3 linked regions of the Caenorhabditis elegans genome follow. The protein of the gene in region 3 purifies or fractionates together with the protein of the main gene of each other region. This does not show direct contact. Each region holds a gene or a part of one and is shown on either strand. Other genes may lie near its edges. The genes, in order: exc-15, lap-1 and pud-1.2.

The links.
Region 1: the proteins of pud-1.2 (region 3) and exc-15 fractionate together in Caenorhabditis elegans (co-fractionation; one large-scale study listed by BioGRID). This does not show direct contact.
Region 2: the proteins of pud-1.2 (region 3) and lap-1 fractionate together in Caenorhabditis elegans (co-fractionation; one large-scale study listed by BioGRID). This does not show direct contact.

The regions. Positions count from the first base shown.
Region 1 is NC_003283.11:4,481,830-4,485,588, reverse strand, and holds the start of exc-15 (NADP-dependent oxidoreductase domain-containing protein), read right to left. Parts: upstream 2,131-3,759; 5' UTR 2,085-2,130; coding exon 1,949-2,084; intron 1,474-1,948; coding exon 1,136-1,473; intron 374-1,135; coding exon 1-373.
Region 2 is NC_003281.10:8,399,843-8,403,601, forward strand, and holds the start of lap-1 (Leucine aminopeptidase 1), read right to left. Parts: upstream 2,087-3,759; 5' UTR 2,068-2,086; coding exon 1,926-2,067; intron 1,275-1,925; coding exon 955-1,274; intron 608-954; coding exon 259-607; intron 214-258; coding exon 84-213; intron 38-83; coding exon 1-37. Other genes in the region: cutc-1 (Copper homeostasis protein cutC homolog), read right to left, coding at 2,681-3,116, 3,449-3,759. UniProt on the Caenorhabditis elegans protein: Probably acts as a digestive enzyme.
Region 3 is NC_003283.11:2,321,531-2,324,684, forward strand, and holds pud-1.2 (Up-regulated in Daf-2 domain-containing protein), read right to left. Parts: upstream 1,037-3,154; 5' UTR 1,010-1,036; coding exon 754-1,009; intron 708-753; coding exon 508-707; downstream 1-507. Other genes in the region: pud-2.2 (Up-regulated in Daf-2 domain-containing protein), read left to right, coding at 1,484-1,736, 1,783-1,994; pud-3 (Up-regulated in Daf-2 domain-containing protein), read right to left, coding at 3,104-3,154.

The sequences.
Region 1 (3,759 bases), 2.2 Mb from region 3:
CAAACGTCGAGATATTCTCAACAATTCTGTCCGGACTGACACTCTTCGGAATCGTCGAAATACCGTGTTGAGTCAGGTGGCGAATGAGAATCTGTGCAGCAGTTTTGTGATACTTGGCAGCCAGTTGTTTGACGATTGGCTCGAGAAGTGGGTCACCTTCCGGCCAGACACCGTCCGGACGAGCAGCTTTTCTGCCTGGTGAGCCAAGTGGTGCGTATGCTGTAACAGTGACTCCGAGTTTTTTGCACAGAGCACGGAGCTCTTGTTGTGGCCAATAGATGTGACACTCGACTTGTTGGTTGGCTGGCTTCACTTCGGCGGCGTCATAGAGCGCTTGAAGCTGGTTGCAACTGAAGTTGGATACTCCAAGGGCCTGAAAATTATATTTTTGGAGAAAGAACACTACGTGTAACTTGAACATGGATAGTTAACAAAATATTGGCAACTAATTTTTCTACATTCTGCTGAAATTTTATAAGTATATGTATTCCAAAAAACGTTACAGCAGCTGACACCCGGTGGGTCTAATTTTGACTACATTTTTTGAATAAACCACTGGAAATTTTCAAGAAAAAATTTAATAAGAACATTTTTAATACAAACTTTTCATCACATGGACGGCAAACGATTTTTCGGGCAAACTGCCTGTTTAAAAATTTCCGCCAAATCGGCAAACTGACAAATTGCTTACCGAATTTGCCGGAAAAAAGGCCAATAATTTTCGAAAAATTGTGGTTTTGCACTTTTTTTTTTGGAAATTTCAGAATTTCAATTTTAATCGGCAAAATTGTACGCATCCTATGAATGTTTCTACATCTGTTTTGAAAAATAAGCAAATCCTTTGAAAATGTTTAATGAAAACGGGAAAAAATTTCAAAAAGACACAGTGTTAAGTGCTTCCGTCTTATAAAAAATTCCCTCTAAACACTTCCGGCAAATTTATATAATGGCGAACGGCGAATCAGCGAATTGCCGAAAATGAAAACTTCCGGCAAACCGTCAAACCGGCAATTTGCCGTTTTGCCGAACTTGTCGACAAAAAAATTTGCCGAATGGCATTGCCGCCCACCCCTGATTCAATTACTTTATGGAAATCGAAATTGCTGATGTTCCTTCAAGACCAAATCTCACAAACCTTAAGCTTTCCCTCCTTGTACAACTTCTCCAACGCTCTCCATGTATCAATATGAGCGATTTCTGTAACAGCAAGCTCTCCATTCTCCATCAATGGAGCAAAGCTTCCCTCCTGATGTTTGAATGGGAATGGGCAATGGATCAAATACAGGTCAATATACTCAAGTTGAAGCGCCTTCAATTGGCTTTCCACACATTTTGGAACATCTTCCGGGGCGTGAGCGGTAAATGGAAGTTTAGAGGTGACGAAGATGTCCTCGCGTTTCAGTTTTCCAGATGAGATGTACTCATGGAGCACTTTTCCAATAATGTGCTCGTTTTGGTAGAGGTGAGCAGTGTCTGAATATTGAAAAAATGGGATTTTCAGTTGTCAAAACGTTGTCAAAACTGCCCTCCAAGGATCAACTTTGCCAATGGTTTTATTCGAAAACTCGAAAAACTGGACACCGTAAAAAATCTCAACATTTGTGTCAAAAAGTAGAAAAATACCTAGAATTTGAATGGGAAAATCTGAAGTTAAAGGTGTGAGTAAAGTTTGTCGGTTTTTTGAAAATGGGTCGTAGTTACCGAATGTAAAAAATGTTGGAAAAAAATTTCAAAATTTTTAATGTTTTTTTTCAATTGTGCAAAAAATTTAATTAACTGGTTTGAGCAAGCCACCACTTTTTTTTTGAGTTTTCCGTTTTTGGCCAAAAATAACATTTTTTAAATCGGTTTTTATTTTCCAATTATTTTTTTGTGACATCTCAAATGGAAGAAGAAAAGAAAACATGACTAAAAAAAAATTATGGTTTCCATCTAGGACAGCACTCACCAATAAGTCTGTATCCAGCATCAAGAGCTGCACGAAGAGCCACAGTCAGCTCAGCTTCATCCTTCACCTGCCACGTTCCCAATCCGAAAAGTGGAAGCTGAGCTCCGGTATTCAATGGAATAGAGTCTACGGTCATTCTGCAAATACTCAAAATGAATATGACCGAAAAGCAGAAAACTGATAAATGTAAAAGGAGAAGCTACGTTTAAACCAATAGATGACAAAATGATAAACAAAATAAATGATAAGAGGTATTTTGTGACCATCGGCAAGAAATAGAGACGAGAGATGAACAAACGGTTTTCGCTCAGTCACAAAAAATGAATGCCGGAAAAATAGAAAAAAGATGAAAAGACCGTAACGGAAAATGTTCAATGATGCGGAGGCCAATTTTCACTTTTTTTTCATGCAAATTCCAAAAACATGACAATTGTTTTTGTTTGTGGCAATGTGAGAACTGAGACTATTGACAGAAATTTGAAATACATGCAGATAGATGTTCATGTGATGAAACAGTAGTAGGAAGTGGACGACGTTGAAATGAAGGACGCCTAGATAAGAGGGGAAAAGTGTTGTCAGATGACCGAAAAGTGGGTGAGTTCGAAAATCATTATTTGATCGTTTGAAGTAATGAAAAAACAACAAAAGACACAAATTAAAAATTTTTAAAAGGTGAAGTAGCGTAATATCGTGCCAAAATTAGGAAATATCATAGTAAAAATTTTCAAAAATTGTTTTAAAAAGTTATATTTACAGTCAAAAAAAAAAAAATAGAAATGCCGGAAAGGCCTTCTGAAAATAAAAAGTTTATTGTTGAAAAATCTAAAAGAAACTTTAAATAGGGCCTTAAAATTGTTGTTTTGTGCAAAAATTACTTTGAATTTTTCACAGCAAACTGAAATTTTCAACGACCGTTTGAGGTATTTTTTAAACTTTCAAATAAAAATGAATAAAAATTTCAGATTGAACAAACAATTTTCTACATTTTTTTTAAATATTTGATTTGAAAAAGTTATACTTTCGTACTGAAATGAACAGTTCTGTACGTTTGCCAATTCTTTGAAAAACCGATTTTTTATAGAGTGCAATTTTTATGTGACAGCCTGGTTGTTGAAATCTTAACTATTATCAATTTGCTATACCGTTCAAAAATTATTTTGAAGTGGACGCTGGCTTCTGCAGAAAAGTTGATTTCTCATTGAATATGTAAAATGATATTGAAACCTGAAACGTGCAAAAATTTTGAGATTAAAAAAAACAATCCCATCCAGAACATAAACTGTAAAAATCTGACAAAAAAAATTCCAAAAACCGGTTGCCGAAAATAAAATGGAAAAAATAGAGAAAAATAACATATGTACAGTATAAATTATTAAATTTCCATTGATTAACGGCCAAGCAACTAAAAGTGTCTAACTAGCCTCTACTGAAAATTAAAAATAAAAATTTGAGGTAAGTACACGATTTCTTAAAATTCCTAAACTTGGGTTCAGCATTTTCCAGTTTTTGAAACAAAACTTGATAGCGTGGTTCTTCGATTTCACAGATTACGAATCTACAATATTAAAGAACATTTCGGGATTAATTTTCAATCTATCACGCATATTTGATCTACGAGAGGCTGATCTACCGGGTTCGATAGCTATCTTCCGAAAGCAGATCACTCGAGAAGGGCATAATTCAGTGTGTATTTGAGATGTCAGGTTCCTCGTGCTGCATCTTTTTTGATGTTTTTTGTAATGTTTTTAATGTTCTATGCAATTATGAAAAATTTGGATTTTTAGAAAATTCTAAAACTTTTTTTTAAAAAC
Region 2 (3,759 bases), on a different chromosome or scaffold from region 3:
CTTTCCACTCAACATTTTGATAATATCATCAGGCTTGCTGGAAATTAAATCATAAAGTAAAATTGAATTGAAGTTAAATATACTTTGCAATTGGGCTGACATTATTCTCAACAATACAGAGACAAGCATGGAGAGTTTGTGAAAAACCGTGTTTGACAAGAGCAGAGTAAGCTTCAAGCATTCCAGCGGCACCTCCCATATCTCTTTTCATATCTGAAAAAATCCATTTTCATAAATAATAATTGAAGTTTTTCATACTTGGCATTCCAGTCTTGGTCTTAATTTGCAAGCCTCCAGTGTCGTATACAACTCCTTTTCCGACAAGTGCAATGTGCTCCGTCGATCCAGGAACCTCATGGGACAAGACAACAAACGCAGGTGGTGTTGGACCAGCTTTTCCGACGTGATAGATTCCGCCAAATCCAGCCTTCAACAGTTCTTCCCCACGGATCACTGTTATTTTTGATCCAGTCGCATTTCCAACTTTGACTGCTTCATCAACAAGAGCATCAGTAGTCAGGATATTGGCTGGAGTATCGATGAGTCTTGCGGTTTCACGGACCGATTCTGAGAGATCAGTAAGGAAAACTGCATCCTCGTTGGTGAGCTGCAAAGAAATTGAATGTTTGTTTTTCAATTAAAACAAAACAATTAATTCGGATTTTGAGATTGAGATCTTGAAGGACACATAACTTTCTTATCAACGGAAGTTCATGAAGACCGCCGAATTTTGCAGAAGCTATCAAATGATTCTACTAGTTCCTCTTTTTTAATTTCGTCACACTACGCAATAAACTCTTATCGTATTTCTACATTATCAGCACACAATTCCAGAAAAGAATAGTCTCCAGGCTGACTTTGCAAATAGAAGCAAGCACATGGTGTCTGCTGTCTATCAGTGATGATAAAACTATACAGATCAATATATCAAAATGAAGGATAGTTGTCACATACCTTGTCGCAAACCACATCGATATTCACATTCAGTTCACGAATTCCTGAAGTTTTCATCGAGAACTTGCAGAAGGTCCGAGCAATAGCCGCAACGTGAGAAAGAACATCTGGATATTCAGCAAACAGCACAAAATGAACATTCTTTGTATCCTCAGGATAGTTGATTGGTTTTAACTCCTTATATATCGAATGAGCATTAGTGGGGGTATTTCCACGTGAAGAGGCATCTGGGACAGTGATCAAATGAGCCAGCTCGTAGTGAAGAGGATGACGTCCTGAGGCGGGGATTCGAGAAATCATAGAGTTCCATGAGTCGCCATCTGAAATTATTTTTATATTATGGAAAAGTATGAACCATCTGCAGATGCAAAATGTTGTTCTCTTTACACCAACCATACGGTACCAGGTCTCGACAAGAGACATTTTTGTAAACTACAGGGAGGTGTGGGTCTTTTAGAGTACTGTAATTTCAAAATCTCATTTATTCTGAATGGTTCATGATTTTCCATACATACCTGTGCGGCATTTGGTTTCGGCATTTGAACAAAATGCACTTTTTCATAAATATGAAAATACGTCATACGGCATACGGCATACGGCATTCGCCATACGGCATTTGGGTGCATATCTCGAGCAGGGGTAAACTTTTTTTGAAATTTTTTTGACTGGTGACAAGCCTAAGAGTCAGGCTTCTCATCGTATGCTATTTCATACATATACGTATTTTCATATTTATGAAAAAGTGCATTTTGTTCAAATGCCGAAACCAAATGCCGCACGGGTATGTTTCCATAGTCTCTTCCGCGCTTTGTTAAAATGTATGTGTTTTTATTTAATATATGTTTAATATTTAGTATGTATATAGATATCTCTAGATATATATGAATTTTTTTAAACGAAAGTGACCATGTACCGTAATTTTGGACAAAAATCAAAAAACATCGCGTTTGTGTAATCTACCAAAACCGAACCTGTAACAAACTTTTGTGCGACTTCTTTGAATTTTCCTTCGAAAGTCACATTTTTCAAGACACTCTTCTTTCCAACAATGATTAGGCTAGTCAGGCCATCTCCAACAGCTTGAATCCCGTTACGAACGAGGACTTGTGTCATTTTTAGGTGACACTAATCACTGAAATTAGAAACTTTGAAAACCTTTTGAATTAAAAAAAAACAAAGTTGGAAAGTATAAACTATAGTATTCAGACTAAAAAAGGCAAACTCTTTTTAGAAAAAAGGTGTAAAAATTATTACTCAAATAAACCGTTTATCAGTTCCTCCAGCAGGTAGAGAAAGAGTGACCAGAGAAACATAAATGCGAGAAAAGGATGATAAAAAATGGCGAGAGAAAATGTAGAGCAAAAAAATGAGAAATTGAGAGAAGGAACAAATCTTCAGGGCGCGTGTTTGCATACATTCGTGGTCTAAAATTTGAGAGGTTGTGAAATAATGAGGAGCGAAATTTAAAATTTTAATTAAGTTCAAATCAACTCCTATATTAAAGTTGCCTAGGCATAAATAAATTGATAACCCTCACAATCCCGTAGAGTAAAAAAACATGCTACTTCGAATATCTAATTGATTAGTGAGCTTCTAAAATTAATAAATAACTTTCGGTACAGAAAAATTCTAGCCAACTAATTGCAAAACACAATGAAAATGTTAGAAACTATGATGAAGCATGCAATATAGACTGGAATATGACATGAAAAAGAATTGAACATAATTAAACGGGGGCCAATGTCGCTTTCAACATCCGTACTTCTTCCAAAGAAGTGACACGTGATGGCTGATTGTCCTGTTTTCCCATTGACACCTTATTCAATGGAGCATTTTTCTTGGCAACAGAAGCTGAAGCATGATACCAGTGACATTTAGTCCATTCGACAAGATTCGCGACATTCGAACTGTTCACACCACAACCTGCGAGAACATCGATCTTTCCTTTGTGAAGTTCTTGCATTTCTCGAATGATATAAACTCCGTCGAGTGCTGACGGCTCTTGTCCACTTGTCAAAACAGCTTTGAATCCAACATCAATAGCGTCCTCAAGACAAGTTTTCCAGTCATAGGCGACGTCAATTGCTCGATGAAATGTGACAGGATGTGGACGGGCAGTTTCAATTATTGATTGACATGATGTACGATCCAATGAACCGGCTCTGAAAATTGAAATTTTTTGTGGATCATCCAGAGCAATCAACCGTTATAATTACAAAACTTCTTTCGTAATTTTGCCGCATGTCTATGCATTTTAAATGTTTTTTAAAAACAAGCTTTCCGCATTGTTCAAAAATTAAGTCAGCCTAAAAATAATTATTTAAATGTTATGTAAAATTTTTATTGATAAACTTGATTGAGAATTTATTTGCGGAAAATGGTGAAAAATTCGAAATGAAACAAGAATATGTTTTTCTTTTTTCATTTAAACATGTTGGAAATAAAATTATAATATATTTATTTGTTTCATTCAATTTAAAACTCTCCGACTTACGATGTTAATGCTCCAAAAACGAATCCTGTGGCACCAGCTTTTTTGAGCCATTCAACGTCTTCCATATTCGCTGCCATTTCGTCTTCATTATACACAAAATCGCCTGCCCGTTGGCGAATCATACAATAAAGTGGAATATCGGGATACTTGTAGCTCAGAATAGACACAAATCCGACGGATGGAGTGAGCCCTCCGAGTTGTAAAGCTGAGCAAACTTCCAATCGATCAGCTCCACCGGCAACAGCATTTTCCGCAGATTCCAGATTATCGATGCATATTTCCAGTTTTATTTGCTTCTGGGATTCTGTTTC
Region 3 (3,154 bases):
ATTGAATCAAGTTTGAGACTGATCTGAATACCTGACCTGATTTTGTATTTTTATAAAAATATTTTTCAGCCAAATTAATAGACAATTTTCACTGACAACATTCGTTCAGTAATTTGAAAATATTTAGCCATTCGAAAATATGCACCTGGGTCGGGATAGCTCAGTCGGTTGTGGTGGCCGTTCGCAACCTGGGAGTCACGAGTGCAAGTCCTAGTTCCCATTTGCGCTGTCGTATATTTGTTATATTTGTAAAAAGAAATTGGACATAGTGGAAAGATAGAAAAGTGTATAAAAGGTTGAAACGGTAGATTTCCTAATACAGAAAAAGCTAAAATTCTACAATTACTGTTGATGACAATTATCTAGCTTCAATCAAAAATTAGCTTTGCTTGGAAATAGTTTTGAGAATGAATTTTATTTCAAAAAAAAAAGCTTAAGAAAAGTACTCCTACGAAGAATATCGCTGCTCAAACAGAAACTCAAAGTAACTACAAATAAAACATGAAATCAATATTTAGTGAAAGTGGTAGTCGATTCCCCACTTGGAGAGATGAAGTGAATTTCGGTTGGGAAAACACGGATCGTGGTAGTTTTTCCGTCATCTTCAGCTGTTAGCATATGCTGCTTCCATGATCTCGAGTCACTGATGAATTTCGCATGCTCTATGTAGGATTTCTTTCCGATTTGGTGACCTTTGTTATCCACTTCTGAAATTTCAAGTTCTTTATTCTCAAAAGATAAAACTCCACAAACCAGTTCTCTCCTGAACCATCGTACCATCCACTAGCCAATTGTCAACTCCAGTTGTCAAGAATCCAGTGTTATAGGCGACACTTTTGAAGATTTCCTTGACTTCATCAGGCTGGAACATCACAACATCAGACTTATCCGCATCCCATCCAGTGTATTTATGTGTCACTTGAAACTTGAAGTGACTTCCAGTCTGATTATCAATTGAAACCTTTGCAGTGCGTCTCGTGAGTTGTGGTGGAGTTGGATCAGTCGACATGATCAGTTTTCAGTCAAGAAACGATCTGAATTATCAGTTGATACGGTAACCATTTTAAACTAAACGAGGAGGTGGAGTTATTGATAAGGAATGCAAGTGATCTTCTCTCTTTGACTATTTTTGTGGTTTGATTGTTTGTGAAATTGATAAAGAACATGAAATTGAACAGTTTGCCTGTTAGTTTCATGTAGCATGAACTATGATCATGAAAATTGATCATAAAGTTGTGCTTTCTTTTGGTACACCTTTGGTTTCTTGACGTCAAAACCGCAGACACGTTGCTTGAAAATGACAAAGAACACAAAGTAATGACAGATAAGCATAGACCAAAGGTTTTATATCAGTATTGAAACATTATCTATTGACAAGTAATGTGCTTAACTCCACCCACTTGAACTGCTTTTTAAAGTCAGTTGGAAATACACGAAATCAATCGAAACTCAAGTGAGTCGATTCTCTTCAACGTTTCAAGAAATGGCAAGCGACGAACCATCAGGTGTGACAGAACAATGGGCCAAAGTGGATATTGAGAACAAAAGTGACCATGTGTTCAAGTTCCAAGTGCTTCATCAGTATACCGGCAATGCATTGGAAGCTTCAAAATGGGTGAAATTGGAGCCAAACCAAAGTGCCCAAATTCTGGAGAAAGTTCACTACAACACTGGACCATTTACAACTGGTACTGATAATTGGAAGGTTCATGGAATCAAACAGATTGAGACAAACTGTAAGTTAACTTATATTTTGATAGTTTTGAAGGAATTAATTTACAGTAGACGATAAGAATGGAGTGGTTGATGGAAAGGTTCGTATTCTCGGTGAAGCTTGGCGTAGTGGACATCCAGATGGGGCTGATTGGAAAAAACACACTTTGAGAGTAGAAGACCATGCCCAAACTACAGTAATCAAGGTTCTCGAGAAAGAAGTTCAATTTGTATCCAAGAGTGGAACATCGACTACTGACTTCTATAGACATGATGTTTAAATTTTCAGTCAATAATTCTTATCAATAGATTTTCTTTAAAAGTTTCAATAAATTTATTGTAATTTATCTAATATAATTTTTCATGCGTACCAATCAAACTTGAATTCTAAACCCTGAGCTCAAAAACAGTCCACTAGAAGTGATTTACACTTTCTGAAGTTTTCTGAGCGGGCCCTATAAAATAAAATACATTTTTGAAGAACATCATATCGAATCAGGAATTCTATTCCTTACCAGAGTGCCTACCGGTGCCTACACCTAATACGTAGTAGAGACATTAACCGTGTGAGACGTTTTACATTATGTACGCAAGTAAGTAATACAAATATGATTTTTAAAAAACGTATTGCGTTTGGAAATATATCGGCCTATTTGTGCTCAGAGACAACTTAATGTATTGAGGCAGATTGTTATGTATTGAGGCAGAACGAGGAGGCGAAGACGAGTAGTTTATTATTACATTAAACTAAGGAATAAATAAGCTAGTTCATAGAGTTCACGTTGTACGATCTTTTTAGCCACGTCGTGGGTCAATACACGTTGATACCCAACAATTTTGGTGTTACTGTAGGTGACTTCTTTGGTAAATAAAACTTCTCTGTTAAATCCTGTTACTCACTTTTTTGATCTTCACATACCCCGGTCTAATTGAACTCGAGTCACTTTATTTTCACTTCGTTTCTTCTAATCCCTTCCCCCCGCCCATTTCTCATACTCGAGTTGAAATCTTTCAGGGTTTGTCTCGGTTTATAAGTTTATTTTAAAACTAAAAAAGGTTTCTGATTCAATATAACCTTTGAATAGACATCACACTCCGTTCTGACTGAATACCAACTAATTCTGCCATGTATTCCATATCAGCAAACCAAAAGAGGCGGAACCGGCATATTGCTGACAAACAATTTTATGATCTTTCTCCTTCTCATTCTTCTTATCAGTACTTTGTGGTTTGGTTCAATGTGTTGCGATTTGAAAATACAAAGAATTCGTTATCAGTGTTTATAACTCTATCACCAATAAAATATGAAGTTGGCAACTTTAGGTTAAAGTCCACAAGAAATTACAATAATCCATTACAAATCTATTCACCATTATAACTCGATAATTATTCACTGCTTCTGTGGGTTTTGGGAGAATGGGAGGATGTTTTCTCCAAGAGT